Linked DNA regions of Drosophila melanogaster. The protein of the gene in region 1 interacts with the protein of each later gene in a pairwise test. Each region holds a gene or a part of one and is shown on either strand. Other genes may lie near its edges. The genes, in order: CG17508 and CG6800.

Region 1 (17,368 bases):
AGTAAAAATTATGTAAAGATATTGGTTAAGAAGGCTTGATACTGTTTTGTGAAATTAACTTGATAAGTTTATACGAGTTGAAATGGAAATATTGAATCTTTTGTTTGTGAAAGGAAAATGAATAAATAATAGTAAAATTATAAAAAGACAATTGAATGGAACACGAGGTCGTGTTAGAGTCAGGATGGCCGAGTGTGGCTCGCCCATTTTGTTGCAGTTAAGTTTAAATTTGGTAACGGTTGGTGGTGTGAGTTAACTGGCCGGCTTATATTGGCCAGATCGCCGAGTTGTATTGCGGATCGTCGAGTTGTAGGCTAACAAAAGATGGACTGGCCGGGTTGAAAAACTGTGCGCTAGTGGAAAATTTTATTGGAAATCCAGACCTTTAACGATTTATGTGTGCAGAATATAAAATTACGATTGTTTGCTTGAGAGTTGTTGGTAATCCGAATCTCATGGCTTGAATGTAATAGGTGAAATGTTTTGAATATTTGTATTGGTTTGCTTTGAAGTCATGAAGAATGAAGAATAACTTAATGAATTAATAACGATGATCGATATTAAGGGATTACTAGCACACGAGGACGTGTGATAGGTCAGGATGGCCGTGTCGCAATTCATTGAAATGTAACGACATTTCTAGTAATTGCGCGTTTCTGCTTGGCACGCGCCATGCAGGCGCCTTTTCTATCCTTTTGATGCGCGGCAGAGAACCGTTAGAGTTTCTGCCGAACGTAGTCTGGTCGCGGGTAGGAGCGGGGGGAAGTAGATGTCTGCAGGAATAACGGAAGCGTACAGAAAAATGCGGTGTGCATTTGTATTGATGTGTGTGGACTGGAGTGTTGGCAATGCGTGTCGAGTTAAGAACTACGCGTAATTGAGTCAGTCAGTGATCGATCGTAGAGCAGAACAGACATGTCTCGCTCACGCGCCAGAAAACGTTATGCAACAACGAGAATAGTGAAGAGGAAAAAGAGTGTCCTGATGACTCTTCGACATATATGTATAAGTTAACTAAGTTAACCGGACCGCTCGTCCGCTGACCAGCACCGGTCAAATTGCTGACCAAGCATTTGGCCGGAAGCTCGAGCATAGCCGGCAAAGCTCTGCACTTTGGCAGAGGCCGCTATGAAGCTCTTTCTTTGTTAGCCTTAAGTTCAGTTTGAATTTGCATTTATCAGAATAAAGAGCGGCAGCTCGTCAACTCCGACTAAGCGTCGTAAAATATATTCTTATTACTTACTCTGCCAGACCACAAGGCTGGCAGTTAAAAGAGGAAAGTTCCTCTCAACGTAAAAAATACACTTTTGCTCCCCGGACTCCACGGAGCAGCCAGCGAAGGAAGCCCTTCACCTCTGGAGGAATCCTGACGACGACAGTATCGCAAGACGGTGCGATCAATCATTAGATTAATTTATATGTATGTAGAGGCCAAGCTTTCGCTTAGTCAATCTGCATCGGCTAATAAAGTTTAGCATACATATATATTAATACAACCTATTTGTGCCTTATTTATTATTATAATTCTTACTATAATTCTTTAAACAGGTTTCTTCTAAAGATATCTCGAGCTCATAGGTGGTGATTCATTTCCTTGAAACCAGTTTGACTGTTGTGGATTAGTTTGTCGTTTAAAATAATCCACGACAGTATCTTTACTATAATTTTATCCAGTACAGTGAGATAGGCCGGTAAGAGTTTAGCATGGTTTTATCTGCGTCTGATTTCGCAATTGCTGTTTTGGTATCCTTGGGGGATGTATATGATAAAAATGTTATTTTGGAGTTTAATTATCTTAACTTTGGTTTGTCCAGGTTTTTTTTATCATAGCATAGTTGATCCTGTCCATTCCAGGTGTGTTACCTTTTAGTGTGTTTAGTGCTGCTGAAAATTCTAGATATGTTAAGGTTTTTAATTTTCTTAAATGTTGTTACGTGAAGTTTGTTTTTGTTGTCTAAAGGTTTTGGACATGTTGGTATAAGAGATGTTTCGGATAAGTTTTAACAGAAAAGCTCTGCTATTTGTAATTTGTGGTAGCGCTTGTGTTTGTGGAAGGGTTAAGGATGCTGCGTATGTGTTTTATGGGATTAAGACCGCAGAATCGCGATTTTTAGTAGTGGGTTGACGAAATGCTTGTAAGTGTGTTGTGTGCGCTGAATTGTGTTGGTGACTTGTCATTTACTAAGATGTAATTAGATTGGGTGATCAATTTTTCTAAAGTTATGCCTCTAGTATTGTTGTTGATTGTGCCCCCGATTTTGTGCCAACCGTTAAAATCTCCAGTGAATACGTGAAGTGTCTAAAATATATTTAATATAATTCTAAATTTTATCCTGGAATCGATTTTAGTACATCAAAGTAGTCTCTTAAGGTTATTTAACGAGCTTGCAGGAAATTGTTTGTCAGGACAGCTATGACCCCATAGAAATCAGATGACTTTTACTAGTCACCTGACCGGTCAATGCGTTTAAAACGTCATTGATGGGTAAGGGCTTCCTTAGATTCTTCCATGTCTAGGATAAATTTTTTTTTTTTTAGACTTTATTAAGGCATACTGGGTAGCTTTGTCACCTTGGGCGCTAATAATTCAGCCCTTTAAGGGGCGCCGGCTAACAAAAGTTAGCTGTAACAAAACAATAATACAAATATAACAATTAACAATATAACAATTTTAGATCATCATCATATCCCGGCTCTCGTCAAGGGGGACCTTATGATAAGGTCCTTCGGCTGTCTCCTGTAAAGCCTTCTTTGTGGGCGAGCTCTGGAGAGCGCCTTGGCTAGGCGATTTCTGTGGCGCTCTAGCCTGAAGTGGTACGGGCTGGAGTGCATGTTTATTGCCTCGGAGACAGTGGCTATCTTGAGGTCTTTGTGCAGGGTTGTGTTTCTTACGTACCATTCACAGCCGGTAATCGTCCTGGCGATTTTGGTTTGGGCAGCCTGAATGCGACAAATTTGGCTATCGCAAGCCAAGCCCCAAATCTGACAACCAGACCTCCATATGGAGCTATAATTTGCTTGAAAATTGTCACCTTGTTGGAGAGTGACAATTTACTTTATTCTGCATTCTTACTTCGAATTCTTAATTTTAAGCAGGATACCGGAGTGCCACACCCGATCGAACGCCTCACGTACATCCAGGAAGACTGCGTTGCACTACTCCTTGTTTTCGAAAGCCGATAGGATTTGCTAGAAGTTGCCAGTCTGGCTGCAGCCTTGATATTAAGGGTGAGAGTGTCAACAGCTTCTTCTAGGTCCCTTTCTGAGTTTATCGGTCTGCTGCCTTTCACGTATGCCCTGTAAGGCCTGTCTTCTTTTATCTGGTAACAGTGGAACTCATATTTTTCGTTCTCGAGCCAGTTGACTACGCTGCGAAATGTGCCGCCTTAGCCTCAACGTTTTTAATGTCCACTATTTTATCGATGCTCTGCATCATCAGACATACGTTGTCTACTCCCTCCATTACTATAGGAGGTGGAGAGCGCCTTGTTGAGTGAGCTGGTGATACCAGCGGAGGCTGCATCCCGCTTAGAGGTAGCAATAGCAGCTTGGTGACTGGTACTGGGTTGGTCACACAGATCGCCAATATAATTGCCTACTTCTTTGTCGACTGAGAGATGTGCAAGTAAATCAAAATGGTTTGTGTGGCCGCCATAGCTAGGTTGTGTTGACGAAGGATTTTCACCTTGTTTGACGATATTGGATTTCGATTTCTTCCTGTCAGTCTCTGGAGAAACACGAGACTGCGGCAATTTGCTTCATCAACGTAAAGTCTAGTGATAATTGCGATGGACCATTATATTCCATTTTCCGTCGTGATTTATAGCGACACGAATTTGGCAATTTTAAGGCACACATGTAAGTACACAACAAATCAGCAGGGTCCTAGTCAAGACTTGAATCCTGGAATATATAAGCTTTAAAATCACAAACAGCTGTTTGTGCGATCGCGTGGCAGCTGGGCATCTGGGCGATCGCGTGGCAGCTGTCTGTCTGTCTGTAACTCTGTCTTTTTTGAATAAAAATGTTTACGTTTCACTATTATTTCACTGATAGTCACTCCCTACACTATTTACGATATGTGCCAGTATTCTGGACTTGTCCATAAGTTTTTACTGCGAAAACTAACTTCACTTGTTCCACATTTTCAGCTGCGTATTGGTAGACACGAATCATAAATCCGTTTTTATTAAATGTTAAATTTGTCAATCAACTACAAAAATCGGAAGGGCGTGGAAGCGTTTGGGAAAACTACAGCAGTAACGGTTTAGTGGTTTTGTGAATATTGCATAAGGGGAACGACCAGAAGCCAATGACAAATGATCAACAAGATTCCATAGCTGATCAGCTGTCAATCGCAGGAAATCCTCAAATCTTGCTAAGATCGGCAGCTAAAAAAGATTCGGAACAATCCGATCAATCAGTGGTGGAGGCAGTCCTGTCTTTCAGTCCATTTGTCTGCACTGGTTTCTCAATCAGTGAATACACCTGTACCGGTTAGTTTCCCACCATAACTGTCCTACTGTCTCCTATCAAAATGAAAGAGGCTTGCGTAGCAATACAACTAAAATGTATTCTGATAGCCTTACCTCTGCACCCTATATTATTGTGTTTACAAGGACTTGTCTTAAGATAGCTAAAAAAGATTCGGAACAATCTGATCAATCAGTTGTGGAGGCAGTCCTAACACTCAGTCCATTTGTATGCACTGGTTTCTCAAGCAGTGATTCCACCTGTACCGGTTAGTTTCCCACCAGAACTGTCCTACTATTTCCTTTCAAAATGAAAGAGGCTTGCGTAGCAAGCCACCTAAATAGTATTCTGATAGCCTTACCTCTGCATCCTATATTATTGTGTTTACAAGGACTTGGTTAAAGGTACATAACTCTCAAGTTTTTTCTAGGTTTGTCCACAACACGAATGATCCGACCTCCAGACGGGTTGGTGGTCTTAATTGCGGTTACGTATACCCTCACAAAGTACAAAGTATACCCTCATATACGCTGTAATTTTCCCACGTATTGTGCTTATACATTCCGGCGTCTTTTGAATTCTTACTTTTGGATGATTCCCGTACCTCGGAATTCTTATTTGTAAAGCTGTTATTTTTCCGACAGATCAGAATATATTTAGTGCTCGAATATCCCGCCACCTTCTGAATTCCCAGAATATCAGAATTTCCACTATCCAATCCGTCTCAAATATACTGTCAGATAGGGACCAATTTGTAGTTCTAGGTGATGGCACTACGTGGTCCCCAGAAGAAAAATCGACTCCACTTATCGTTGTCGCAAGTTAACTTTATTCTAAACTCACCTGGATTATTGGATCCTACTTTTGAGATGACAATCGACATAAACGAATTCATTGTTTTCGCAAGGCAAACTTTCTGACGCTAATTAGTTTTACATCTGGCTTTAATTGGCCCGATTCTTACTCCTACAACATAATGGCGGATGCCATATATATTTTTATAACGAAATTAAATTATTTTGTAGCTCTTGTGTTCTGATGTACTATCCGTCAATCTCTAACAAACTTCCTTGGTTTAATAATGAGTTGACTCACCTAAGAATTGAAAAGTCCAGACTTTAGACAAAATTTAGTCTCAGTCTATCCTTTCTAAATATTTAATTGCTCGGTTAAATTTTACTGTGCTTAATGCTTAGTGTTACAAGAGCTATTTATACCATTGTAAGTTCCAGTTCGCACTAAATTCGAAAAGTTTTATAATTTTGTTGACACCTAGCGCAAAACAATTTCTCACCCTGCCTCGTTTTCTTTTTTTTTTTTCTTTGAAAATACTACGGTAACATCGAATCAGGCAATGGCAGATCTATACGCGGTATTAAAGTCGAATTAAATATTTTATCCCACTCTAAACGGATGCTCACTGCTTTACGATCTTAAGCGCGTTAAGCCTGTCTATTCTCTAGGTTCCTACGGATTCCCTGGCTGTGTGCTCATATTGTTCTCTGGAATATTTAGTCCGCCCAAATATGGCAAGAGTCCTTTGTGATCCCCCTCCATAAAAAAAAGGAAAGAATGATGCAATCACCGAGAAATCTCTCAATTGTCGGATATACCTCAGCTTTTTTAAATTTGCTATCAAACCTCACCTTTGTAGGTGCAGACAACCTTTTGGAGCTAACTTCCTTCGTCATACAGGTCTTCAAAAATAGTCTTCAAGCAGATGTCATAACTGACTTTAGTAAAGCACTTGACTTTTAATCAACATAATCAACATGTTGATCTTCTAGATCACAACCCTGGTCCGCTCCTTCTTATCCCCTTTTAACTAAGACTTTTGCTTACAACATTCGGGTGTATTTATGTACGCAGACAATATTAAATTATGCCTCCATTATAAGGACATTTCTTGCCCCATTGTTCTACAGTCTGATGTAGATAGCTTTTAAATATGATGCCGTTGTTAGACAAAAATTTGTGTCTGCAATACTCAGACAAAGTTAAAGGCAGTGGACATTGAAAGTAACTTCGTTGGTTACGCAAGATTGCAATAAAGAGTTATATTTGTGAGCTGTTTCTGCGGTTTCATGGTTGTTGCAATGCAAATTCTGGAAACGTAACCGCTGACGCAAACAGGGAGACATTTTTAAAGTGCAAGGCGTCTGCAATTTATAATTAAGTGGACCATTTAGCGGACTCGTTATCGTTTGATGAGTTCGTTCTTCGTGAGAGGTGGGAGCTGATCGATGACCTTTAAAAAACATTTAGAAAAATTCTCAACAAGCTCGAAATACTTGATTTGCATGAACTCGAAAGTGATTTGGCTGAGAAATTTGACATGGTCGTAACGCTTAAATCCTCTATACGGGAGGAGATAATCTTTTTTGACGGCATCCCTCCTAATGAGTGTGGCCAACAGCAGCGTTCAGTCCCGTAATCATGAACCGCCGCTTCCCCCTCTTGAGCTAACAAAATGCGCTGGGGGCTATGCTAACTTGGTCAACATGAGTTCACATACCAGCATGCTGCCGTAATCCCAAATGCTTCGGCCAGGGTAAAGGACAGGTTGCTCGTGGCGCAACAGAAATCCCAGGACAACGGAATAAGTTCCTTGGGAACAGGACAGCAGAATAGGACGCCCGGCATGCCAGGCCACTCGCAGCAATCGCAAAAACAAGAAGAAGTTAGCAACCACCGCCGCAACAGGCATCCCAGGGCGGCGTTCAATTTCCAGTATTGCCAAAAGTAGTACCCGTGGGAATGTTATAGCCCCCTTGTGCAATGCCACAGCCACCTTCACATGGTGTGGGTCAACAACAGGGCCAGGGGCCACTCAGCGACATGATGTTTCATAAGCCACCGCCAATCCCGCCAAATCTTCGCTAAACCCAATAAAAAATATCGTTCAAAATCGCTTTATAAACCTCGTCTTTTCATTGCTTTGAATAGCTAAGCAAATAATTTCTCATTAGATTAATCTGCCTAGATGGTAGTAGTACGCTTTTCCTACAAATAAACATTTCCATCTAAACTTTAAAAAACAAATTATAAAAAATGAAATCCCTTATTGAAAGGACTTCATTGTTCTCAACTCTAAGTATTTTTTGGCTTTGGTATTTGCGATTTCTTAGATCGAATATAGCGTACAACAAATGGCACAGAACCTAACGTGATACTTATTCTAGCAGGGGCAAAGACTTTGTGTACGGCATACGCAACAACAAAGGTGCTCCCCGTTGCCACTTTTTCTACAATAGCGGGTGATGCAATTCCAATACACTCCAGAGCTGGGACCAAGTTTATGCCACTGTGAAATAGAGCAAGAAAAGCATAAAACATGTAATTAAAAAAAAAAGGGTTCCAATGTATTATATTTATAACAAGAAAACATAGGGCCAACCAATTTATAACTTTCTATATTTCTATATCTTTTCTATATCTCGTAACTTGTAGAGTAGAAGGTTATTTGTTGAAAAGTATGTAAAACGATAAAATGTAGCTCATGTAGCTAAAATTTGCGTGGATTTCGATTTTGCCATTCAAAAAGTGTTGATTAGAAAAAGATCAGAAATTTGGTTAACGCAGTGAGGTGGAGCTCATTGATGTTTTCGATGACGGTCCGATTTCTGCGTGCACAGGATACTCGAATGCATGGTACCCCTAAGTATTTACATTTGCCTTACATTAAGAATATCTTTGAATCATTCAAGGTGATACATAGTGCGATTTGAAGAATTTTTGGTACACTCGTATTAATCCTTCAATTGCAGTTTGTGGTACTTTCGATGCGTTGGCGTCGCAAAATAAATCTTTGTTTTTATACCCGTTACTCGTAGAGTAAAAGGGTACACTAGATTTGTTGAAAAGTATGTAGCAGGCAGAAAGAAACGTTTCCGACCATATACAGTATATATATTCATATATATATTCAACGACTTTAAGTTTTTTCTCATTTTATTCACCAACATCTATCGATATCCCACAAAAATTATGAAATCTCGCGTTCGCATTTCCACTACATGAGTATCGGGTATATGATAGTCGGGGAAGTCGACTATAGCTCTCTCTTGTTTTTCAGTTTATTGTAAGTCTGAACTGAACCGAACAAAATGATAGACAGAAGTGCAAACGAGAATGCTTCCATTAGTCTGTTAGATATAACCTTTTGCTCTACGTGTAAAGTACAACTCGGAAACACAGTATTGTAATTTGGACAGCAGTCTAATTGTAGTACCACCTTACCTTGATACAAGCACATAGAAACCGGCAAGAGAAATCAGTGAAATTCCTACGTGAAACGCAACAATTGGCGCTCCATATTCCTTAAATGCCCTCTTCAGCTGCTCACTTTTACTTAGTTTTGCACCTGTAGGTGTTTTTGTGGAAGAGTTTTGCATAGGTGATTGGGTGCTATAATATCTTCGATTAAACAACCCTGTAAAATTAGTTTAAAATATATTTAGGTTATGTGTTAAGAATGCATATAGGAAAAACACCATTTCATACAAAATATATCTATTTTATTTTAGAGTTATATACCCATTACTAGTATTTTAAAACGGTTCTTTATATTCGATGAAAAGTATCTTACAGATAAAAGAAAAGTGTTTTAGACTTGAATCTCTATCAGGATCGATCTGTTCATGTCCGTCCGTATGAAAGTCCAAATATTTATACCTCAAAAAGCTAAAAAGATGGTATTCGAAAAATACGTTGGGCATGCCCACTCCAAACACAATTGTCTATTTCACACTTTGTTTCGGTTTTCTTGCAATTTAATAAATTCTTTGGTCAATTCTAATTTCTATATAATAGGGTTCCTGGGAACTGAAAGCCAATCCTTAGAATGAGTTCCTGATATATGCAGACATGTAGATGCATTTCTAATTACAATGTTATATACATATATATATGTAAATATATTGTATACATGAAAATATTCATATACGAAAAAATGCTTATACAGTTACATATTTTTACTGGTTACTTTTTGAACGAAGCTTTCTCACCTTGGTCATTCGTTTTAAGAGTAGCATTCTGATCGTAAGTCGCCCAATCCGCTCGCAAACTTTCGCGAAGACCGCTGTAGTGAGAGCACTGCATGTTTTGCGCTGTAAACTTGAATTCCTGGGACCATTGTCCGCCAGGCATGTTCAGATGAGAAAACTTGTTAAGCCCCCCAAACGGTGTTGGTACATTGCTTTGCATCGCGGAATTAAGACTGATCAACCCGAAACAATCATAGGACTGTACATGTGGATCTTGACAAATATTTGGATCGCTTAGGACTGCATGAAAACTGTTGTCAGTTGTGATATCAATGCTTGAGATTGGTGCTTGTGCATTAATCACTGTAGACGAAATGTCACGCGAGCGCTGGGGGGAGAATCGAGTTGTTTCCGCAGAGTCCACATTGATTGGAAGGGGAATTGAGGCTTCATTCACATAATTTCCCATTGCGACACTTAAGTGCAGTTGTTGAACAGCTTTGTGTGTATGGAAGTAGATTAAAATATACAAATATTAGTACTAATTCGTATGAACATACATACATATGTATACGTATGTGTAACTATTGCGCATTTAATAAAAAATGTGTGCATATGTATAAATGTACTTTATACTATTTCGTATAGCTACAGATGCATACATTATCTATGTACCTGCCTATTTTAGACGGCGACAAAAAAGCGTACGTTACCTGGCCATCTCTTACTAAGAAAAAAACAATCACGTAAAGGTCCTTTCAGCACCGCAAACGTTTTGCCCGTTGTGATGTACATTGTATTTGGCAAATGCAAAATAAAAGCTTATTCTGATTAAACTTATCAAGCCGACTAACCAACCCAACTACAAGCAATTGCTGTAGACCGATGGGAGTGCAATAAGACATTTATCGATATTTTTCGGATAAAAATATTTTTCTATCGTTATAAATTAATAACGTCTTTTTCCATTTCATACAGTTAAAAGTGTGCTTTAAAAGTAGCATTCCAATATCCTTTATATTTTATTATTATAAAATTATTTTATTACAACAAACTTCTTATATATTTATTGTTCACCCGCAAATTTTCTACATTTACAGGTTTATATCAGGTATTTTATGACTTCAGTTACTTTCTTGTGTTCATGCTTCATAAGAAGATATTTAATTATTATACACTTCCCACTGTTACCTAAAGTATACATACCTCAAAACTGAGACCAAGAAGTAGCTCTTAGATACTATTATTATGATTATTTATATGTATATTGATTGGTTAATATTCCGAAAAGCATCCTTACGTGTTATATATCAAGAGTTGGAGAATTGGTAGAGCTCTTAATAAATTTATTGATGAAAAAGGGTTATGTTTTTATTTCCATTAAAACTTTTACTATTAAGGTTGAAAAAAAGAAATCGTTAGACTCGTTTTTGTGATATTCACCAATAAGTGGTTGTTAGAATAAAACAGCTAATCATTTTACAACTTCGTTAAATTTTTGTGATTATATTGTATTTTGTCAATTTTTGTCTGTGTCTTCTGTAAAAGGCTTACTAACATCCAATGAAGTTTCTATTTACCAAGACTTTTGTCATTTGCTAAAGCAATGAATATTACGTTACTGTCAGATGGCTATACCATTAATATCACTATTGTTTGATAAAATTCGCAAAATAAAAATTGAATCTTCTGAAGGAGCTGTAACGAAATCGAGTCCACTTAGAGTATCGCAAGAGCGTTTTAATTCATTGCAAAGAACCAAAACACTGGTCAAAACATCTTTGTTAGATCCACGATTCAAAAAGGTATATCTTCCGCCCGTCACATCTAGTGAAGGATTTTGTTTTCGAACTCTCTCAAAGCAGCATTAAAAAAGTAAGAAATGTTTTTAAATGTTGTAACCATTACTAACACCGTTTTAAATAACCCGTTACGTGATTACTAAATTTATAAAATAAACCGTAAAAATGTAATGAAACCATTTATAGATAAAAAATAATAATAACAATCTAAATTTTTAATGCCGTATTCACTGACCTTTCCGACTGGGAGCTCATTGGATGACGAACATAAGGACTTCAGCAACGAAGGATTCATTAAGGCTCGTAACCGATTAATCACAACGCGACGCATGAGCTTAAACTGTTTTCGAGATTACCATTCGCGTCTTGGGAAAGTGATCCTTGACTGTTTTGGAAAGGACACCGAAAATTACACTTTGTCTGATCTTTCTAATTTGGCAATAAGCTACCTTATTATGCCAGATATCTAGTATACCTTTTTACTCTCAAGTATCGGGTATAAAAGGAAGTTGAGATCGAAGCGAGATGCTTATCGGTTGCAACATTTATGAAACCTACCAATTCTAGACAAATTTTGTAGTTTGCAGCTTATCTTAGGTCGTAGTTCGATGTTCAAAGTCAAATCAAAAGTTCATATCGACAGGCGGATAGACAGACGGACAGGCGGACTCATTTTTTTCGTTCAGATTCAAATCAAAAAATCCATACATGGGTATTGAACAGAAAAAGCAGGATACCGTTAAATAAATTTGTGAATTAGAACCATGATCTTTTTCATGTTTACTTTACTTTGCTACCGAGTTTGGTTTTCTTTGTGATTGGCGTTTCATTTTGAGGGTTTGTGAATAAAAGGCCAAACCAGCCTAATTGAAATTTTGCGGTGTGCCTGTGCAGCGACTGCTCGTTTTACGCTGTGGTATTCGGAGGGTGAAGCTTCACCCTTCAAGCGGCGTTGCGACTACTCCATGGACAGCTACTCGAGGCTCGGCTGATAAGGGAAAAAGTAATAATAAATAAACGGATATATGAGTCGGCAATAGTTTTTCCAATTGCCGCGATAATAATCGACGTGAACAACAATGGTCTTTGTCCTGGTCATGCTCCTGCTGCTTGGGTGCCCACATAAAGAACAATCGCGAGCACGCGCCCAACGAAAATTACAGGATCATTTATGGCGAACGGGGCAACCGCCTGGTAGCAGTCTCTTGGTAGCACCCGCTGCAAAAACAACCCCGTGCTGACACAGCGTGTGTGTAAACACGTCGCAACAATTAGTTGCCCTTAACGAATCGACGGCGAACCGTCGTCTTCCGGTCAGGGTCCCGGAATGACATTAAGCTCCGATTAGTCACTTTCAAGTTGGTTAGGAGCCAAGCAGCTGCCTGCCATCCGCAACTCTCGCTCTTATTGTTGGTCCCCATATCTGTATTTGTCGCACAACTTTGTTGTGATTACGGCGATAAAGCGGCTCAAGTAAATCACAATAATACGACGGTCTAGTCTGGCCGACTCGGTTCGAAAGAAAGTGTGAATAGAGCCGGGCTCAACAATCAACAACAATAGATTCGCCGGACCGGACCATCAATGACAAATGTCTCTAGGATTATGAGTGGGCATGTGCATAAAAGTCAAAAGCAATAGAAATAAAAATTGTGTTCACGTCATGGGACATGTCAACAAAAACTGCCGAGAAGCAATTGCGCGACACTTTCTTGGGTGTAAATTAAGATACTTTATACTGGCCCTTGGTGAGGACCAAGCTGGTGGCCAGCTTGGGTTTTTGTGTATCACTCGATTGTATTTTGCTCTTTGCATGCGTCAGCTATATATTGAACCGCTAGCATATTCATTGATTTTCGAACAGTAATTCTGCAATATCATTGCCTGTTCAACTTCGTGGGACTAGCACAACCCATCTCTTGCCTCCCCGCACCGTCCCGCGAAGAAATGCCGTCACGTACGCGAGCCCCATCGTTCAACAAATAAAGAATGAACCGGATCCTCATCGTAATTATACTGATGCGTTAGCAAAATTGCTGTCAAATTATAGGAGGCCAGCTCTAAAATCGAGCGATCTTTTGAAGGTAGGTAGGAAATACGAAATTCAGTGGCCATTAAAGTTAATGATGGGTATTTATTTTCAAAAAAGCTTTTCATTCTAAACTCTTTTAGGGGTATATTAATAAGAGATTCCGACCAGCAGTGTCTTCATTGCATTTATCTTCATATTTTATAAAGCGCACATCGAGAACATGATAAATATTATTTCATAACAACTATTTTTATAAACAAACTTTTTTAAGAAACTCTGAATTGATGGAACCGAGATACATAAAAAACGGACTTACACCTTATCTATTCACAAAATACAGGAATTTGAATACTAAATTACACACATTACTCGAAGAGTAAAATGTTAAAGTAGATTCGTTGAAAAGTCTGGATCAGGTTCAATTGAAATGAATTAAAAAGAAATCAACAATTCGTTGTTATACCCGTTAAATGAATAAAACAGGTAACACAAAACTTTTCCTAACACTTTATTGAGGATCAATAACCGAGTCGGTATTGAGGAGCCAAAGAAGTTAACATTTTTTTGTAAATGCATTTTTCTCTGATCACAATTAATAATTATAACATCAAAAATTTTATAAAATCAAACTAAAGTAGTTAAAATCAAATACTTCCGTGAATTCGCTAAAATTTTTGAAACTCCAAAGCTGAATTTTATTTGGCTTAATTAAGAACACATGCTATTAACGGAGTACCCCTTATTAAATAGTCTCAGTGGCAATCGAATATAAGAAGGAACACTAAAAATGTGAAGGAAGTCGTTCTCTGAGAATTGTATATAAACGGTACGACTAATCCTATATTTTTAGAATGAACGGCTACTCTTGGCGTTAAATTCTCTGTATATAATTTTTGTATTTGCTAACAACATTTGCCAAACAATGGAGGATCTTTTAAACGAAGTTGTACCACAAGAAGATTTAGAAGTAAAAAATATTATTTTAGTTCTGATTGTTATAAAATAAATATTTTGCATTTGCTCCAGAGATTCGAAAAAAAGTATCATCACGAACTTGAGTTGGATGGTGAAGTTACCACAGACACAAAGTTTGAGTACGCATTCCTAAATCTAAAAACATTAAAATATCTCAATTCTTCTCAATTCTAATGACACAATAGGTACGCATTCTGTCTGGTCCGAAGTCGGTACACAAATGACGTTAGAAAGGTGACTCACTTTTAAAGCTGTAAAGATGTAAAAATATTATTTTATTTATAATCCAGGGAATTATGATTTTGGAGGAACTGGCTCGTACGCATCCAGATGGAAGGCGTGACTATATATATTATCTTGCGTTTGGTAATGCTCGTATCAAGGAGTATACGTCTGGCTTAAAATACTGCCGAGCTTTTCTTGACATCGAGTCAAATGATCAAGTTCGCTCCCTAGAGGTTAGTAAGGTCACTAAGGAAAGCAGCAATTTCTATATAATCTCCAATAGATTCAAATAATTTTTTGATCCAGAAAATTTTTATGACAACCAAAATCCCATGATCACAAAAGATGTGTCGTGTTAAATGTACATATATAATAATGAAAAACATATTCATGTGATCCTCACTAATGTACATACACTAAAATTCAATGTACGAATAATTACTAAATAACTTTACATATTTCAGGAATATATTAAAAAAGAAATCGATAAGGAAGTGGCAAAGGGTATGGTGGTTGCAGGCGGAGCAGCTTTAGTACTTGGCGGAATATTAGGACTTGGCATTGCTATGGCTAGAAAGTAATATTTTATACCAACACGTTTTTAACCGACAATGTTCTTTTAAAAACAAGCAGTTGAAAATTAAATATTTATGATTTAAATTAAATCTACATTGACTTAATTATTAATGCTATGTGTACATTGTTTATTTTTTAGTAAACAAAAACGGGAGAAATAGTAACGTCACCACTATTTAAGGAAAATAAAACATCGAAAGGTGCACATCAAGATGTTATGAAGTTTAATACTTGAAATATGTTAATTTACTACATCAACATTCTAATTAATCTTTATGTACGGTTAAATCAATAAATTATCCAATTGTTGCTTGTAGATCGTGTGTGTTAATTACATATGTTAAGGTATAGTGCTATGCCGACTCCGCTGAATTAAACTCCAACAATGCTTAAATCATCGGACTTCTGTTGTTTTTAGTCCATACAAAGAAGAACTTCGAAGGCGTAGTCTACCGAATCATCGCCCCGGCTGGGTGCAAAATAATATGATCTCCCTGGGTCCAGAAGACTGACCTCCAGTAATCCAAACTACTCTCTACTCCTTTCTAGTGAAATTGTATTTCGGATATTTTTTTTTAGACTCAGGATAGGTAGGATTAGCTAAGTGTTCCCATCTAAAATAACTATTTCTTCATGTCGCATATTTTTGTGAGTACGTACGGCTTTATCAAAATCGTAACACAAGGAACAGCAGATAGCCTTGAATAAAGGTTATGGGTGGAGCGCAGTTTTATACTGAATTTAATTCGGAGACTAGCTATATTTCAATAGTGGTAATACTTTGGACGTTGATAGGGGATATCAAGAAAGCACGCATTTCAATCCGGCTCTATCTCGTCAGCGAGTGTCGTGGTGTTCTTTTGAGGTTACAGCATTTGGGTGCTCATTCATATCTATGTGAATTTAAATGATAGCTATGGAAAATGATAGATAGGGAGTTTCTCTCAATGCACAACCCACAATGTCATTGGGGGGTGATAGTTGCTCACCCTGCCATGGTCCACGCGATTCCAAATTAATTATGCATTTGGCCGCTTTTATCCAATTGGGGTACGGAAGTTCTTGGATCAGCATGTAGTTTAAATTGGTGTTTCTACTTAAACATAATTTGATTTTATTACTGATCTATTGATTAATATTGATATTTTTTCATTCTATACCTAACCGTTCTAATTCCTGTAATAATTCTACACTTGTTCGTCTTCCGTTCGATATCATTTTCATTTATTATTTACTACATATGATACTCGAAAACATTAGGTAATTTAAAAGTAAGACTTTCTTGGCTCCATTGCATAAATATTTATAAAAACATTTAAATTTAGTTTATTTCACTTCAATAGACTTACGCAATGATTAGGTTTTAAATTTGAAAACAAACAAAAGCAAAATGAGCATACATATGTGGACATTTCGAGCATACGTTTGGTTATATATTGAACTGCCAGACAGTTAATAAATTGGTTGGTCATTAAAATCCACTAATGAAAGAGATTCACCTTATCTTATTCGGCTTACTTATTCGTTCGTGAGCAGTAAACTGTAAATCTTCTTTTTAACCAAGCTCTCTATCTCTAAACTATCCCAAACCTTTTGACTTCAATATTTGATTTGGTTGGTTTATATGAGCTCATTTTGCGTAAAGTTTGGGATGAGACATATTTTTAATACAAATCAACTAAAAGTGTAAATCAAAATCACTTTTCATCCAAGCCATATGGCCAGGAACTTAACCCGGATTTCTATCCGAGCCCCGCTCAGTATAGTTATTAGAGGCCCACAATTTTTTTTAGTGTTAGTTAAGTTTTAATTTTATTTCAAGTAATGGTTTTGTTAATCTCCCTATGTAGACGATATAATAAAAAAAGCCTTTTTAAATCTTCCAGAAATAGGATAGGCCAAGCGAAGATCCATAAATTTGGGTTTGCAAAGGAGAAAAGAAGGGTCCGCAATGACTTATGGAATTTTCCCGTTGGACGATGAGTACTGAATTACTTTAAAGATATGAAAAAATATTATAACATATTTGTGCGGTAGAGTGGCAACACAGGTCAACAAACTTGCTATGCGTCATATCTTGACGGACGGACGGACAGAGGGAGAGGGTCACATCGTCTCGGCTATTGATTATAATCAAGAACATATATATTTTATGTGATAGAAAACGCTTCCTTGTGCCTGTTACGTACTTTTAAACATATCTAGTATACTCTTTTACTCTACGAGTAACGGATATAACTAGAATCCAGTCAGAAATTGAAGTGTCTGTGCAGGAGCCACAGAAGTCGGTGCCAGTGTAA
Region 2 (15,668 bases), on another chromosome or scaffold:
GCCGCAAATTCCGGCTTATAATTGCAATTGAAGGCACGTCGTCGCTCGTTTTAGTGTGTTTTAAGTCTGTTTTAGTGTTTGCCGTTCAGGGTACTTGACGACTGCCTGTGTGTGTGTGTGTGTACGTTGTTGGTTGTTGAAATCTGCGCAAACGCATGTAATTCGAACCACAGCGATCTATTCATAGATCCGTCTTATCACTTGAGGGCGCCAACCAAGCCGCCGACCTCTGACCCACAAAGCGTTAAAAATCGGAGTCTTAACGATGCTAATGCCAGCCATAAAGCCAGCCAACCAGCCTTGTGCAATGGCCCCCGGTATCAGAGCGATAAGGCTAACCAGTGGCGAGCCACAACTCTAGACCTGCGGATTTGTGTCGACTGGCATATAGAATTAGCCGGAGCTTCAAGCTTCTGCCGAAAATAAAACAAGCCGCTTCTGGCCGATGGTTACGTCAATTTCGATTCGCGTTCGAGTTCTCGTGCAGGTAAATAATACTACCACAAAAGTGGCAAAAGCAGCAGCACCTCAGCAGCAGTCAAGACAACTTTTGTTTAACACCGCTCAAGGAAACAACGCACACGGACCAAGCATAAAATTAAGCGCGATATAAACTGCAGACCTTATGCCCCACGTCTGTGCCCTTCGCCCGGGGTTTACTCCAGACTACTACCACAAAAGAGCTCATGAAATGCGCATAAAGAATCTCCAATTGACTGGGCCGCGGACAACCACGGTGGGAAGCACTGAGAGAAATGTATGCAGGTTTTTTAGGATGTCCAAGAAAAATACACATTATAAAATCTTATTGGATAAATATAGGCCAAATAACAAATCTAATAACGATTTAAATCTGATAAAAGCATAAACAATTGGAATAAGATTCCAAATAGCTCAAAAGAGGAGTTAAGAGCTGACTGATTCTTCTCTTATTCAGTTCTAGTCCTAGATAGCCACACTCTTTTCTCCCAGTGCACAGGGAGTCACAGTTGAACGAGTTGATTTTTAGTTGCCTTTGCTTTGGAGTCCGAGTGCGCGCATTGAATTTTTGATTTAATTCGTCTTCTTCATCTCGAACTCCGGTTCGCGGCTTCTTTTTTTTTTTGGGGTCTTTTGCACAAGGTTATGCGTCCGCTATTGTCAATACCCCCACCGACAAAACTAACTATCATTAAGTCACATAACACATGCCTTTCAAGCGGATCTCAAATTTTGAACCTCAAGTTTGGCAATTGTGCGACAGTTTGATTTTCTGGGTCTCGCGATGGAGAACTAAGCTCATTTGGGCATTAGTTGTTTGCCAGAAGTTGGAAGCCTTCGAAATCGTATTCTATGCCGAGTCAGAATGTTTAAATCCGTAGAGTGATTGCAATCTGTGAGGTTCATCTGTAAGGTCAAGACAGCTGATTGCAGCATTTAGCAAATATTCATGTGTTTATAAAATGTGCAAACAAATATTTCCTGGAATCGCGCCCATGGGCAGTAATATATGTACTATAGGCAAGTATAGACAAGATGCAGTAGTCAAATGTCTCTTTTTCTTTGTTCCATTCACGGCTAGTTTCATTCAGTCACTCTTCCTGCTGTTTTTTGTTTAGTTTTTGCTGCTGGACAAGTTTAGCGACGCCTACATTTTATGGTTCACGTAAATGGTTAACATTTGAGTCTCATCATGGCTGCGTTTGTGTTTTTTTTTTGTCTGGTGCTGCGCTTCAGTGCGTCGGGTCGACAGGTGTGACTCACAAACGTGGCTAACACCCGGCTAACCTCTGTGTTTTTGGCCCATCAAACACGTCGCTCGTTCTGTGATAACGGCTCGAATTAAAAGCTGCCTCGCCAAGCTGTTAGAATGTGTGTATATGTCTGGCTTGGGCCAATTTGTTTGGCTTCCTTGCCGGCCATAATGCTTGGACAGAAAAAAAAAAAAAAAAAAACAAAAACGGCATAACCGGTCCTCTGAAGTGTAGTGGGCCAACTATAGGAAAACGGTTACGAGGCATGCAAAATGTTTTTAGGAAATAATTTGCAAGTCAAAGCGACAGCCGAACCAATTTTGATGGCTATACTTTGTAGCTGCTTTTACGGCCACAGAGCCTGCGGCTAATTGCATCCACTTAAGGTGATCAGAGTGGAGCTACGCAGAGCTCCAGCTCATCATCACCACCAGCTGGTGGCCTCTACCCAAGTCGACTTGGTCGGTTCAAGTTCAGCGCCACTGAAGGTTCATGGCCAATTAGAGCGCGCTTATATTATCGCCCGTTTATGGAGTGGAAAACAAACACGGCGGCCCTGCAATTATTGCTGTTTAGTTAACCCCACTGTATCGCAACTACTGCACTGGCTATAAAATATAAACAAACCACCGAAGTAGCTTGCTGTAAAACTTTCCGGTTTTAGTCTAAGTGAGTAATGAGTTCGGATGGTATAGCGCTGTTTGTACTTGCTTGTCATCAATATGCACATTGCAATCAAGAGTTATCTAGTCACTTGAATAAATTATTGTGGGATAGATATGCCTCATTATTGTTAAATTGCGAATTTTATAAGAGATCGGAATAGGTTGCGTTTGTTTCAATCAATAATATTTTATAGCAAGGGATTATATGGATATGGAATATGGAAACGTTTGCCTAATTCAAGTGTAATCGCTTTAAATTTGCAATATAATATTTCTATTATAATCCTCTATAGATCTAACCTTGAATGCTGAGCGATGCGGTCGTGGCCTGGCCTTTTCTGGCTGCTGACCCTGGCGCTCCTGGCGGATGGAGGTCGTCGCGAGTCCCAGCTCCGGATCGGCAAGGCCATCAATATATTCCTGCGCTATGGCTACCTGGGAATCTCCATGCGTGTGATACCGCTCAATGACAACTCGGAGCCGGATCGCTGGGTGTTTAAGGAGCCCACCAAAAACATCTATAGGGTAAGGGACTTAAGGCAGAGTTAAGCTTACATTTAATAAATTAAATGGCGTTGATGAACTCGGAATTGTTTGTATTAACCTTTAACCACAATCACCATAATTATTTGGAGTATAATCAAAATTTTAAAATAGGGTTTAAAGTTGTTATCACTTAAAACTATTTTTAGTTGTAATTATATTGTTCACTTCCGCCACGTTTGTCGTTAGAATGAGCGCTTATTATATTTGTTTGATCAGATTTAGGAAAACGATCATTATATACGATTATTCAAGTATGTCACTTGATATTTATTACCTGATAATTGAGCTGACTAGACAATTAGATAATTAATGATTTTTTTCTTTCAGAATCTGAGTGGCCTGGCGGAGAGTCATGAAGACACCACGCCCGGAATCTTTCATGGAGACTTTCACATGGAGTTCTGCGAGAATCGGAGGCAACTGTTCCAGGCCTACTTCCGTGACTTTTCCATTGAGCGAATGGACAAACCGTGGGAGGCATTTACTGGCGGATGGTTTCCGGATAATGCGGCCAAGAAGCTGGGCATCAATACATCTTTCATCCAAGGCGATTACTCGTATGTTTTGGTGAGGGTGGTGCGCTTCAGGGAAACGGGGCGTCTTAACGCTGAGATTCCGGTGCACCAACCCTTGGAGCCGGATGTGCGATCGAGAATGGATCAACTGCAAATCGGAAATATAACTTCCGCAGTGCGATTTATGGAAGATGTGGGCACCCACTACGTAAACTCATACACCACCGGCAATTCGCTGTATCAGGTGTTTGTGTACAGCAGGAAGAACTACAGCATGATCAAGGAGCGAATCAAGAGTAAAGGTCTGAACGGACTGTCCAAGTTGGATCTTTACAACTACTTTGCGCCCTGGTTTGCCGCCCATCTGGGCCAGATTCGATCGGCTAGTGCCAATGCTACAGTGGAAAGATGGGCGAGAAGGAAGCTGCAGTACGAGTACTATGTGGTCAAGTATGTGACCCTGCTGAAACTGCACGGTAATAGTACTCTACTGCGATCCCTGGACTCGCTGCTCGGCAACGATGCCATACTGCAGTTGGACCTCAAGTCGCTGAAGCCCATCTTCCGGGAGGAGCCGGAAAAGGAGAGCTGGTACCACGAGGTTCTCGACAACAATGTGAAGCTCTGGGAGCTTAACATGCCGCAGAGTCATCCCACCCGATAGCTGCATTTTAAATATATATATACTGTGCGATATGTGGCAGCCAAGGATCAATAGTTCCTAGATGCTTAGTTGTAGTTAGGAACCTCTAGTGCGTAGTTAATGTTCTGCCTGTGATAGTTTTAGGTAGTTTAATTGGAACACAGTACACATCCGACTTGCATTTCAGCTAACTAGACCGTAAGATCGCCTTATTGATGTAATAGTTTTGTAAACTTTAATACAAAGTAAAGATAAAAGTAAAAATCTTACTGTTTTCATAACTTGATATTGGCTATTAAAATCTAACTGTTTTCATTACGTAATATTGGCTATGAATATCAAATACTATTTTGAAAGTTTATTTTGAATAATTGATTTTGATTAAGAACCGGTAATCGAAACGGGTAAACGGCTCTACCCGTTTCATCAAGGCTTTCAACCAGACTTATTCTAGTTTTCCACCCTTACGTATTTAGTATATGAATCAAGTATATTTTTAATACCGTGTGGTATATTTCAAACGGTTCAGTTACGCTCATACTGAAATCCGAAATAGCACGTGCGGTTTTTGTATTTTGATTTTGATTTTGGGTGATATATACTGGCATGGATATTTTTTCCAATTGTCCGGGCTTTTGCCCCTCCTGCGGCTCCATTCTGCCCGAGCTTCAAGTCAAGGGCAATGTGATTTGCTACAACTGCAAGAAGGAGTTTCAGCCAGATGGTAAATCCAGAAATTACAACTTTGTTTAATTTATTTAACACTTAAAAATAGTTTACAGCGGCGAGAAGTCCGAGTTTACCATACACTTCAACACCTACGATCCCAGCAAGGTGTTCAACAGGACGAAAAGGGAGTCGGAATCGGACGCGGATGGCCCCGTTGTGGAGAGGAAGTGTCCCAAGTGCAACCACGACAAGATGTCCTATGCCACCCTGCAGCTTCGATCGGCGGACGAAGGCCAGACGGTGTTCTTTACCTGCCTTAAGTGCAAGTAGGTGTCCTGATAAACATATTCCTTCACTTCCACAACTAATCACACACATTCTACCTTGCAGATTCAAAGAATCCGAAAACTCTTAGTTGCTAGCAATGTCCGTGTAAATAGTCCTAGATTAATGAAAATAATCATGCTCGACGGCCTGAGAAATATAGAATTTACCAATTATAATACCTAACCGGTGTCAAACTTGAAGCAGAACCCACCTCGCTGGCCTTGAGTCGGTTTTTGGGATTGTAGACCACCAGATTCGAGACCAGATTGATTTCCACCGCATGTGTGCAGCTGGGAAACAAGTTGTCCCAGTGAATGCCCACGGAGTTGGGAAACCTACGTCAAGAATATTACGGATTAAGTAATCATAGACGGTAAGAATGCCTACCGTATCTTGCTGTAATCCGGCAGAGAAGTCAGCTCTGGCCACTGATTCAGACGTGGGCTGCCCAGAGTGCGAATGATGATGGCTAATTGCTCGATGTCGGTGGTTCCCGCAAACAGGGGCACTCCGCGTAGCATCTCCGCCACAACACAACCTGGATAGCAATAATGTCAGCCATAAGGATATATGTAAACCCATCAAAGAGTCATGGCTAACCTGCCGCCCACATATCCACTCCGGTTCCATACTTCTGGCTGCCAAATAGAATCTCTGGCGCTCGATACCACCGGGTTGAGACCTGAGGCGAATAAAGGCGCGACTCGTCTTCAGGGAAGTACAGACGGGCCAGTCCGAAATCGGCAATCTTAAGCATATCTGTATCGCTGATAAGCAGATTGGCGGGTTTAATATCCCGGTGCATGAGACCCGCTTCATGCAGATATGCAATCCCCTTGAACATTTGGTGTGCAAACTTACGCACCTGCTGGCGGCTCAGGGGATTAACCTCGCTCTTGAGGCGGTTGTACAGAGTGTCCGGCTGGTATTCCAGCACCAAGGAGAGACCAGTTAGGTCAGGATATATATCAATGATGTCCAGAATCTACAATTAGTTACATAATTAACAAATGGAAAATAGATATATGGTATACCTACATATTCAGACTTGCAAAGCTGCAGGGTCTTGATTTCCCTCAAAGTATTTAGGGCTATGTTTCCGAACTTGTTCTTAAGGGCCACCTTCTTGATGGCCACCTCCTTGTTGCGCTGCAGATCGATGGCCTTAAACACGCAGCCATGGACGCCTTCGCCGATTTTCTCAAGCATTTTATAGCGGCTGGGCGCATAGTCCTCCATTATGGTTACTCACAATTTTCAATTTGGTAATTTTCCGAGCAGTTATCTACTTCGTTTTTCGACCCCAGTAGTCCATGGCAACGGGCACAACAATTGCCGGAGTACCAGCTGATGGGACCACCTGTTGCAGGATGTTTACAAGCGCAGTGGGTTTATGGTAATTACGGGGGTTGGAAAGCCTAGGCCAAGGCGGAGCAGTGACAGCTTTCGGTTTAAGGACATGCGCACTTCCTGCCTCGAATTCCTCCTGTCAGACAAATGTCAAGTCAGGGGGATACATAATTTTTCGGACCCTCGCACTGCAAAAGTTCTTCGTTGGCTGAGATTTGATGTAAAATAAGTGTTTCAAATGGCATCGGTAGTGAAATAAAAGCCAGTTCTGGGACTAAGCAAGCTGGTAGGTTCCTAAAAACATGTACACATAAGATTTAAGAGGATGCAACACCTGGAAGATACTCCTTCGCGTTAACGAGCATACTAAATAATGCACGAATCCTTTAGATCATTAAATTGCTTTATAATTACTAAACGTGCCAGCATTGCTGCAGCAATTTGAAGCAATTTTGCTGGCCTGGACTGGCCTTAGCCTTGCTCCACCTGTCCTGTAAAATTGCATGCGAGTGCCAGCAAACACAGGTAGAACGTAGAAAATAATACACACCCACTGGGCGCAGCCTTGCCTCGGCAGCCTTGGCTCACCCGAAACCAACCACTGCCATTCACCACCCACAACTTGGCTCCAAGTTCACGTCCTCGATATGCGCTATTCACATTTAGAATCGTTTTACAGCCCACGCGGTCAACATGTTCCGGCCAAGTTGGTTTCCATTCGCCAGCCTGCTGTTCCTGCTCCTTTGGAGCACCGCCTGTGGCAGGACAGCCAAGAGATCGGACGTCTACATAGCGGGATTCTTCCCGTACGGGGATGGCGTGGAAAACTCCTACACCGGTCGGGGCGTTATGCCCAGTGTAAAGCTCGCCTTGGGTCACGTTAATGAGCATGGAAAGATACTGGCCAACTACAGGCTGCACATGTGGTGGAACGACACTCAGGTGAGTTAGGGTTTAGCTTGAAGATTTCATTAAGTGAATCTCTGATGATGGACTTGTGGTTTTTAAAGTTCAATTAGGTATTTTTTTTAATGTTCATTGGTTCATATTGTAATATCACACCTTTACCTATGCATATTTCCATATATTCTGGAATGTAATTTTGGTTTCCTTTCCAGTGCAATGCTGCTGTGGGCGTAAAGTCCTTCTTCGATATGATGCATTCGGGTCCCAATAAAGTGATGCTCTTCGGCGCTGCGTGCACCCATGTGACCGATCCCATAGCCAAGGCCAGCAAGCACTGGCACCTCACCCAGCTCAGCTACGCGGACACCCATCCCATGTTCACCAAGGATGCGTTTCCGAATTTCTTTCGCGTGGTACCCTCGGAGAATGCCTTTAATGCGCCGCGACTGGCCTTGCTGAAGGAGTTCAATTGGACCAGAGTGGGCACTGTCTACCAGAATGAGCCACGCTATTCGCTGCCCCACAATCACATGGTGGCTGACCTGGATGCCATGGAGGTCGAGGTGGTGGAAACGCAGAGCTTCGTCAACGATGTGGCTGAATCATTGAAGAAACTGCGCGAGAAGGACGTGAGGATCATTCTGGGCAACTTTAACGAGCACTTTGCACGCAAGGCATTCTGTGAGGCTTATAAGTGAGTTGGATATACTAACTTAAGTCTCAATTTAAAATTATTGCAATAAACTCCCTTCCAGATTGGATATGTATGGCAGAGCCTATCAATGGCTGATCATGGCTACCTATTCCACGGATTGGTGGAATGTCACGCAGGACAGCGAGTGCAGTGTGGAGGAGATCGCTACAGCCTTGGAAGGTGCCATTCTAGTGGATCTTTTGCCCTTGTCCACCAGTGGTGACATCACAGTGGCTGGCATTGTTAGTACCAGTAAAGTCTATTAAAATTCTTGTAATAAATTTCATATTTTACTAGACTGCTGATGAGTATCTTGTGGAGTACGACAGACTGCGAGGCACTGAATATTCCCGCTTTCATGGCTATACCTACGATGGTATCTGGGCAGCTGCCCTGGCCATTCAGTATGTGGCCGAAAAGCGAGAGGATCTGCTAACACATTTTGATTATCGCGTGAAGGACTGGGAGAGTGTCTTCCTTGAGGCTCTACGTAATACATCCTTCGAGGGTGTGACGGTAGATAGATAAACAATCCAGTTTTTGCAGTTAAAACATATTTTACATTCTCAAGGGACCCGTGCGTTTCTACAACAACGAGCGCAAGGCCAACATCCTGATCAATCAGTTTCAGCTGGGACAAATGGAAAAGATCGGGGAATACCACTCACAGAAGTCACACTTGGATTTAAGCTTGGGAAAACCAGTCAAATGGGTGGGGAAAACTCCTCCCAAGGATCGCACTTTGATCTACATCGAGCACAGTCAGGTCAATCCAACCATATATATTGTATCGGCTAGTGCTTCGGTCATTGGAGTGATTATTGCCACAGTTTTTCTGGCCTTTAACATTAAGTATCGCAATCAAAGGTGAGCTTAACAATGCTATATTAAACAATTTCGTTTAATAAAATATTGATGTTTTTATAGATACATCAAGATGTCCAGTCCCCATTTGAACAATCTGATCATTGTGGGCTGTATGATGACCTATTTGAGCATCATTTTCCTGGGTCTCGATACCACATTAAGTAGTGTGGCAGCTTTTCCCTATATCTGCACAGCTCGAGCCTGGATCTTGATGGCTGGATTCAGTCTCAGTTTTGGAGCCATGTTCTCGAAGACGTGGCGGGTGCATTCGATATTCACCGATCTGAAGCTCAATAAGAAGGTGATCAAGGACTATCAATTGTTTATGGTTGTGGGCGTGCTTTTGGCCATTGATATAGCCATTATAACCACCTGGCAGATTGCCGATCCCTTTTACCGCGAAACTAAACAGTTGGAACCCTTGGTGAGTGCATTGATAGAACATATTTGAAGTGAAAAATCTAAAATGATTATTATTAACTACAGCATCACGAGAATATTGATGATGTCTTGGTGATCCCCGAAAACGAGTACTGCCAGTCTGAGCACATGACCATATTCGTTAGCATTATTTATGCCTACAAGGGACTGTTGTTGGTGAGTATATAATAAACATTAATTTGTAAGATATCATTATAATAAAGCAATAATTTTTTTCAATAGGTTTTTGGCGCCTTTTTGGCCTGGGAAACTCGACATGTTTCTATACCGGCTCTGAACGATTCCAAGCATATTGGTTTCTCCGTTTATAACGTGTTCATCACTTGTCTGGCCGGAGCGGCTATATCCCTGGTGCTATCGGATCGAAAGGATTTAGTTTTTGTCTTACTCTCGTTTTTTATCATTTTTTGTACGACAGCCACTTTGTGTTTGGTGTTCGTACCGAAAGTAAGACTGGTAGTAAGGAAGTTTTGTAGTTTTTGTAGCTGTTATATGTTACATATAATAATCGTGTAATATGAATGTTGTTTGTCGGCGGTAATAGGCCGATCAGTTGTGGTTAGAGCTTCTTAACTGATCGTACTTTACCGCCAGCTGAGCTGATCTTTCGTCTAGCGTTGATACACCTTGATACAGAAACAACATGTACTCGAAAACAGATCTTAAAATGCTATATAACACTACAGACTAACTATAAACTTGAACTATATAGAACCCACTAAGAGCAGCAGCAAGGTTGTAGGCAAATCCCACTTCCTTGCTGTTGGAATATCTTTAACTATCCTATATTACTGTCCGTAGAGTTGATCCTTCCTAGATGTTGACCGCGTAGTATAATCTTTGGTTAATATTCATGCGAATCGTTTTGCAGTTGGTGGAGCTGAAGCGGAATCCCCAGGGCGTGGTGGACAAACGCGTTAGGGCCACGTTGAGACCCATGTCCAAAAACGGACGCCGGGATTCCTCGGTGTGCGAACTGGAGCAACGATTGCGAGATGTAAAGAACACAAACTGCCGATTCCGAAAGGCGCTGATGGAGAAGGAGAACGAGCTGCAGGCCTTAATCCGCAAGCTGGGACCCGAGGCACGCAAATGGATCGATGGGGTGACCTGCACAGGTGGCTCCAACGTCGGTAGCGAACTGGAGCCCATACTGAACGATGACATTGTTAGGCTCTCAGCTCCACCGGTGCGTCGAGAGATGCCCAGCACCACAGGTGAGTGGCTAAGGAGGGGGATTTCGTAGATATGTTCATGCATTGCAACCCGTTTGTCATAGAAGTTACCGAGATGACGTCCGTGGATAGTGTGACCTCGACTCATGTGGAGATGGATAACTCCTTTGTGTCGGTGCAGTCTACAGTGATGGCGCCATCGCTTCCTCCGTAAGTTCTTAAATTTTGGTCTTAAATACACTCTAATCTATGGATATTCTCCAACAGCAAAAAGAAAAAGCAATCGATTGTAGAGCACCACTCGCATGCCCCTGCTCCAACTATGATGCAGCCCATCCAGCAGCAACTGCAGCAGCACTTACAGCAACATCAGCAGATGCAGCAGCAGCACCTGCAGCAGCAGCAACACCAGCAGATGCAACAGCAACAGCAGCAGCAGCAGCATCATCATCGCCATCTGGAGAAGAGAAACTCGGTGTCCGCTCAGACCGATGATAATATAGGCAGCATCACCAGTACGGCGGGCAAGCGGAGCGGAGGAGACTGCTCCAGCATGCGGGAGAGGCGTCAATCGACCGCCTCCAGGCACTACGACAGTGGCAGCCAGACGCCCACCGCCCGGCCAAAGTACAGCAGCTCGCACCGGAACTCCTCCACCAACATCTCCACATCGCAATCGGAGTTGAGCAACATGTGTCCACACTCAAAGCCCAGTACTCCGGCTGTGATTAAGAGTAAGTTTTCTGCGCGTCTCTTATAATACTATAATACTATCGATTTTCTAATCGAAAATAGCTCCCACTGCCTCCGACCATCGCCGCACCAGCATGGGCTCCGCTCTGAAGTCCAATTTCGTGGTTTCACAGAGTGACCTCTGGGACACGCACACGCTGTCGCACGCCAAGCAGCGCCAGTCGCCGCGGAACTACGCCAGTCCGCAGCGCTGTGCGGAACATCATGGCGGCCACGGGATGACCTATGACCCGAACACCACCTCGCCCATCCAGCGGTCCGTCTCCGAGAAGAACCGCAACAAACATCGGCCAAAACCGCAAAAGGGCACCGTTTGCCAGAGCGAGACGGACAGCGAACGGGAACGAGATCCGCCGCCCAACAGTCAGCCGTGCGTCCAGCCGCGTAAGGTCAGCCGGAGCTCTAACATCCAGCACGCCGCCCACCACCACAGTTCGCCCAATGTGGCGCCCGATAAGCAGCGGAGCAGGCAGCGCGGCAAGCAGGATAGCAGCATCTACGGCGCCAGCAGCGAGACGGAACTGCTCGAGGGCGAGACGGCAATTTTGCCCATCTTCCGGAAACTCCTCACCGAGAAGAGTCCCAACTATCGGGGCCGCAGTGCCGTGGGCCAGAGCTGTCCGAATATATCCATCAAATGCGATATCGTCGAGTACTTGTAGGCGGCGCGAGTCATATGCATTATGCCGTAGTTAAACTCCTATTGTTAGATCCAGTTGCAGTGTAAAGATTATCTTTGTTTTCTTTGGAGTTACGCATCTACATACATACCCTGTGAAGCAGGACACACACCATTTAGTGAACTAGTAGCAATGACATGAGATAGTTGGGAAATAAATTACAATTTAAAATAATCATATATCTGCTGATGTTTCCCTTTCACTGGCATGAGCTTTCAGAGGCACATTTTTCACTGTGTACAAGCAGAAACGGCAACTCTAATTTATTTTAATGAGCAAATGGGCATGGGTATGAGTGCTAAACTGATGGGGGAATCTATTGCAGAGCAATGCGCCGGAAGTGATTGTTGAGTGGACCCTCGTCCGAATAGCCGGCAATTTCCTGTGGTATGATGCCAGACTCCTCAATGGAAGTGCATGGCCGACACATGCACTCCAATGGCGCCTTGGTCAGGACCTTCTTGAATTTACGCTCGCCGGGCTTCACTTTGGGACAGAATAGCGAGACGGCTGCCTCCCGCTCACCAGACTCCTGGCAGCACATGCAGGAACGCTCCATTTGCCAGATCTTACTGCCCGAAACCTAAAGTCATCAGATTATATCAAATTATAATTTATATTTCAAGTATATCAACACCCACCTGGATATAACTGGCACAGCGACCCACGCAGGCGAACGAGGGAATCGGCTTGGGCACACATCCAGGATACTGGAGCACATGGATGACGGGCGTCACCTGACAATCGTCGCCAAGATGCGTAATATCTGGATGGTAAATGGAATCCATTAGAGCGAATAATATGATATTATCAAATGCCTTATCAAATACCATTATCCGTGGCGGCCACAGAGCTATCCGGCTGTGCCGTGCAGAGTTTCAGAATGCTGACCAGGACGCAGTAGAGCAGGATCAGGACGAAGACCTTGTTGTTCTCGTGGCGGAGCAGGTGGCGCAGCATCTCGTCGGCCCGACTGCGAGTGTCCTTTCACGTGGAATGGAAAACGCCACTTGCAGCCGCCGGGCTTTTATAGACCAACTTGGCCAGCGGATGCCGCTCTAATGGCCGCTCGACAGCGTAAATTATGGCCTAATAAAGCAAGGGCCGTCCAAACCTTTTTGCCTAGTAATTGCGTACACGAAAAGGGCATTTCTCCCGCGGCGCACGACCACGGCAATCTCTTTATTTCCCTCACAACTTATTGGCTAATCAGGGCCAGGCCAACATGCTGCCCACTGCTAAAAGCAGAACCACCACCAAGGAAGTGGCTCCCAGGCAGGAGCTACCATTTCTGTCCGCCAGATATTTTACTAAGCCTTCCAAATGGGTTTCCGCCCAGTTAAGGTTTTTTTCCACAGTGACCAGGGACTTGGAGAGCAGCTCTTCCGATTCACCGAAGAACTGGTGATTGCTGTAGTAGAATTCCTTGAGCAACTGCTGTTGCTCCCGGGTGGTGAAGTACTCCGCCATGTCATTGATCACCTCGGCCGTGTCCCGACCAACTCTGGAAGCTGAAAAGCGACAAGGTTAAGTGTTCAATAAACAATCAAACCACACTCTCAGATGATCAAATTATGAAAAATAACTCACTTATACGCTAATTCCATAATGTTTTCGGTAATCATTTCGAAAATTGCCTGAACCAAGTCAGGATTCTCCTCGTACATACGGGCGATACCAATTTTCTTTTGTTCAACACTTTCCGTACCAGAGATGATCATCTTGTGGTAATGGGTTTCGTAGTCTCTCGTGCAGCTGATTGCAGCCCAGAGCATATTCTTTTCGCTAGTGCGATTTTCCAAATAATACTGACCCCACAACATGGTGTATGAGTTGTAATCGGCACCACTGGCGGCACAATAGAACGTTTCCCGGTAATCCGGCGATGGTACTTCATGACCTGTTACGAACTGAACGTTAACCTTTGGCCTGCAATTGCTGGCCTGGTATCTGCACAGCCATTTGATCAGTTTGTTGCGATTGGCCACATCCAGCGGAGTGTAGTATATACGAACATAATAACAATAATAATAACAATAATAATAATAATATTAATAATAATTATAATATGAATCATAATAATAAGTCGACTAATAAGTAAACTTAGGACCACCCTAATTCCTTAGGGTCACCCTAGTAGATCTTTAGATACACCCTAATACTAAATATGCGAATTCAGCATGTACGCCTTTAGGGGTCGCACTCGACTCCCATTGGTTATCGAGTATGAACTACATACTTACATATTGCAGAATTTGCTAGTGTCAGCACTTGGCTGTCACAAGAGATCTGCCTGTAGACCACACTAAGATCAGTTATAAATCAGGAATAGATCTGGAATGTACGCTCGCTTAATAAAAACCAAATAAAGATAAAATGACCAACTGCGTTTTGAGACTTTATTAACTACATCAGAAGTATTGGAATTCTAATTAACTACATGGCGACCGTGACAAAGGATCGTTATAAGTTGTAGCAGAAGCTAAAGGAAACCGCTTGTGATAATTTTCAACTTCGATGCTCATCCACCAAGACGGCGGCAATTATGAAGAAAAAAGCGATCTGAGTGAGTAGAGTGTCAGTGTGATGGGAAAAAACAGGGGCGGAGTTCGACATAATATAAAAAAGAGAATAGCGCACATAAAGTGGCTATTATATACGAACACTCCACCACCCCAATGGTCGAAAGCTCAAAAACTACAAGCTGAGCTAGACCACTGTGTCGAATATCTCAAGAAAAAAATCCCCACCACACGCGCTCACTCAGAAAATCAAATAAAATCGTTAACAATTAACAAAACTCCAACTCCCAATCCGAAAAGCCTGCCTGTTTTCAAGAAAAGATGCCCGAACGACTGCGAGGGACCACTGTTCACACCGCATTGTGAACATACGTGCAGACATTGCAGCTCCACCACATAACCCCTAAATGAGGAAATCATCATCAACGTGGTGAGCAGCCCGCTCATTACGTCATCGAGGGAGTGTCAGCGTGCCAACCCCGGCGACGTCCAGCTGACGCAAGGAGGGTCAGAGTGAAGCAAATAGGAGCTGAAAAATAAAATATTTTTTTTTGTTGCCCTGCGTGGCACACCACCCTCGATGCACTGCGCTGCATATTAATATTACACAAAATATTGTAACATTGAGCGGAACTTTTTCTGCCCGATGAGAAGAATGGCCCGTAAAGCCATACACCAACTAGGTAGGAAAATGTAACTATATTGAACAAAAAAAAAAAAAAATCAAAACAACATATTTTTAAAGTAAAATAAACCAAAACCCAAAAATAAAACAAAAAAAAATAAAAATATACAAAAATGGGTTGGTTTGGATCTGACGATAGTCAGACAAAAGATAATACGGCCAATGTGGTCAATAACTTAAAAATAGTCGACCATACAGATGACATTCAGTCACTGTGGTTACTCCTTTTGATCATGACGATCGTAACAGTCGCTCAGTTTATATTAACGCTATATGTTAAGCATAACAAGATAATAAAGAGGCGTTATATAGGCAAAGCAGAGAATAGTTTGGATAAAATTTAAAAAAAAAAAAAAAAAAACATCCAAAATGTATTTTGAATTAAGATGATCTAAAATTTTTATTTTTAATATCAGAAAACTAGAATGAAAAAAAAAAAAAGATTATTGAAGAAACCTATTTGAGAGAGGCCAAAATTTATAAAGTTCGATTGCATA

The links.
Region 2: the proteins of CG17508 (region 1) and CG6800 interact in a two-hybrid assay, tested with the Drosophila melanogaster proteins (one large-scale study listed by BioGRID).

Annotation. Positions count from the first base shown.
Region 1 is NT_033778.4:5,601,601-5,618,968, reverse strand, and holds CG17508 (uncharacterized protein), read right to left. Parts: upstream 10,335-17,368; 5' UTR 10,254-10,334; coding exon 10,172-10,253; intron 9,957-10,171; coding exon 9,480-9,956; coding exon of another isoform or gene 9,454-9,479; exon of another isoform or gene 8,975-9,453; intron 8,906-8,974; coding exon 8,713-8,905; intron 7,778-8,712; coding exon 7,564-7,777; 3' UTR 7,383-7,563; downstream 1-7,382. Other genes in the region: Fis1 (Fission, mitochondrial 1), read left to right, coding at 14,215-14,259, 14,319-14,386, 14,453-14,501, 14,558-14,725, 14,957-15,069, 15,208-15,229.
Region 2 is NT_033777.3:21,766,807-21,782,474, reverse strand, and holds CG6800 (uncharacterized protein), read right to left. Parts: upstream 6,338-15,668; coding exon 6,137-6,337; intron 6,084-6,136; coding exon 5,699-6,083; intron 5,637-5,698; coding exon 5,486-5,636; intron 5,434-5,485; coding exon 5,262-5,433; downstream 1-5,261. Other genes in the region: tsl (torso-like), read left to right, coding at 2,714-2,923, 3,272-4,123; Polr1H (RNA polymerase I subunit H), read left to right, coding at 4,709-4,826, 4,878-5,097, 5,162-5,186; GABA-B-R2 (metabotropic GABA-B receptor subtype 2), read left to right, coding at 7,142-7,390, 7,567-8,048, 8,110-8,290, 8,346-8,564, 8,620-8,915, 8,976-9,339, 9,402-9,512, 9,579-9,815 and 4 more; Burs (bursicon), read right to left, coding at 12,281-12,547, 12,606-12,730, 12,795-12,924.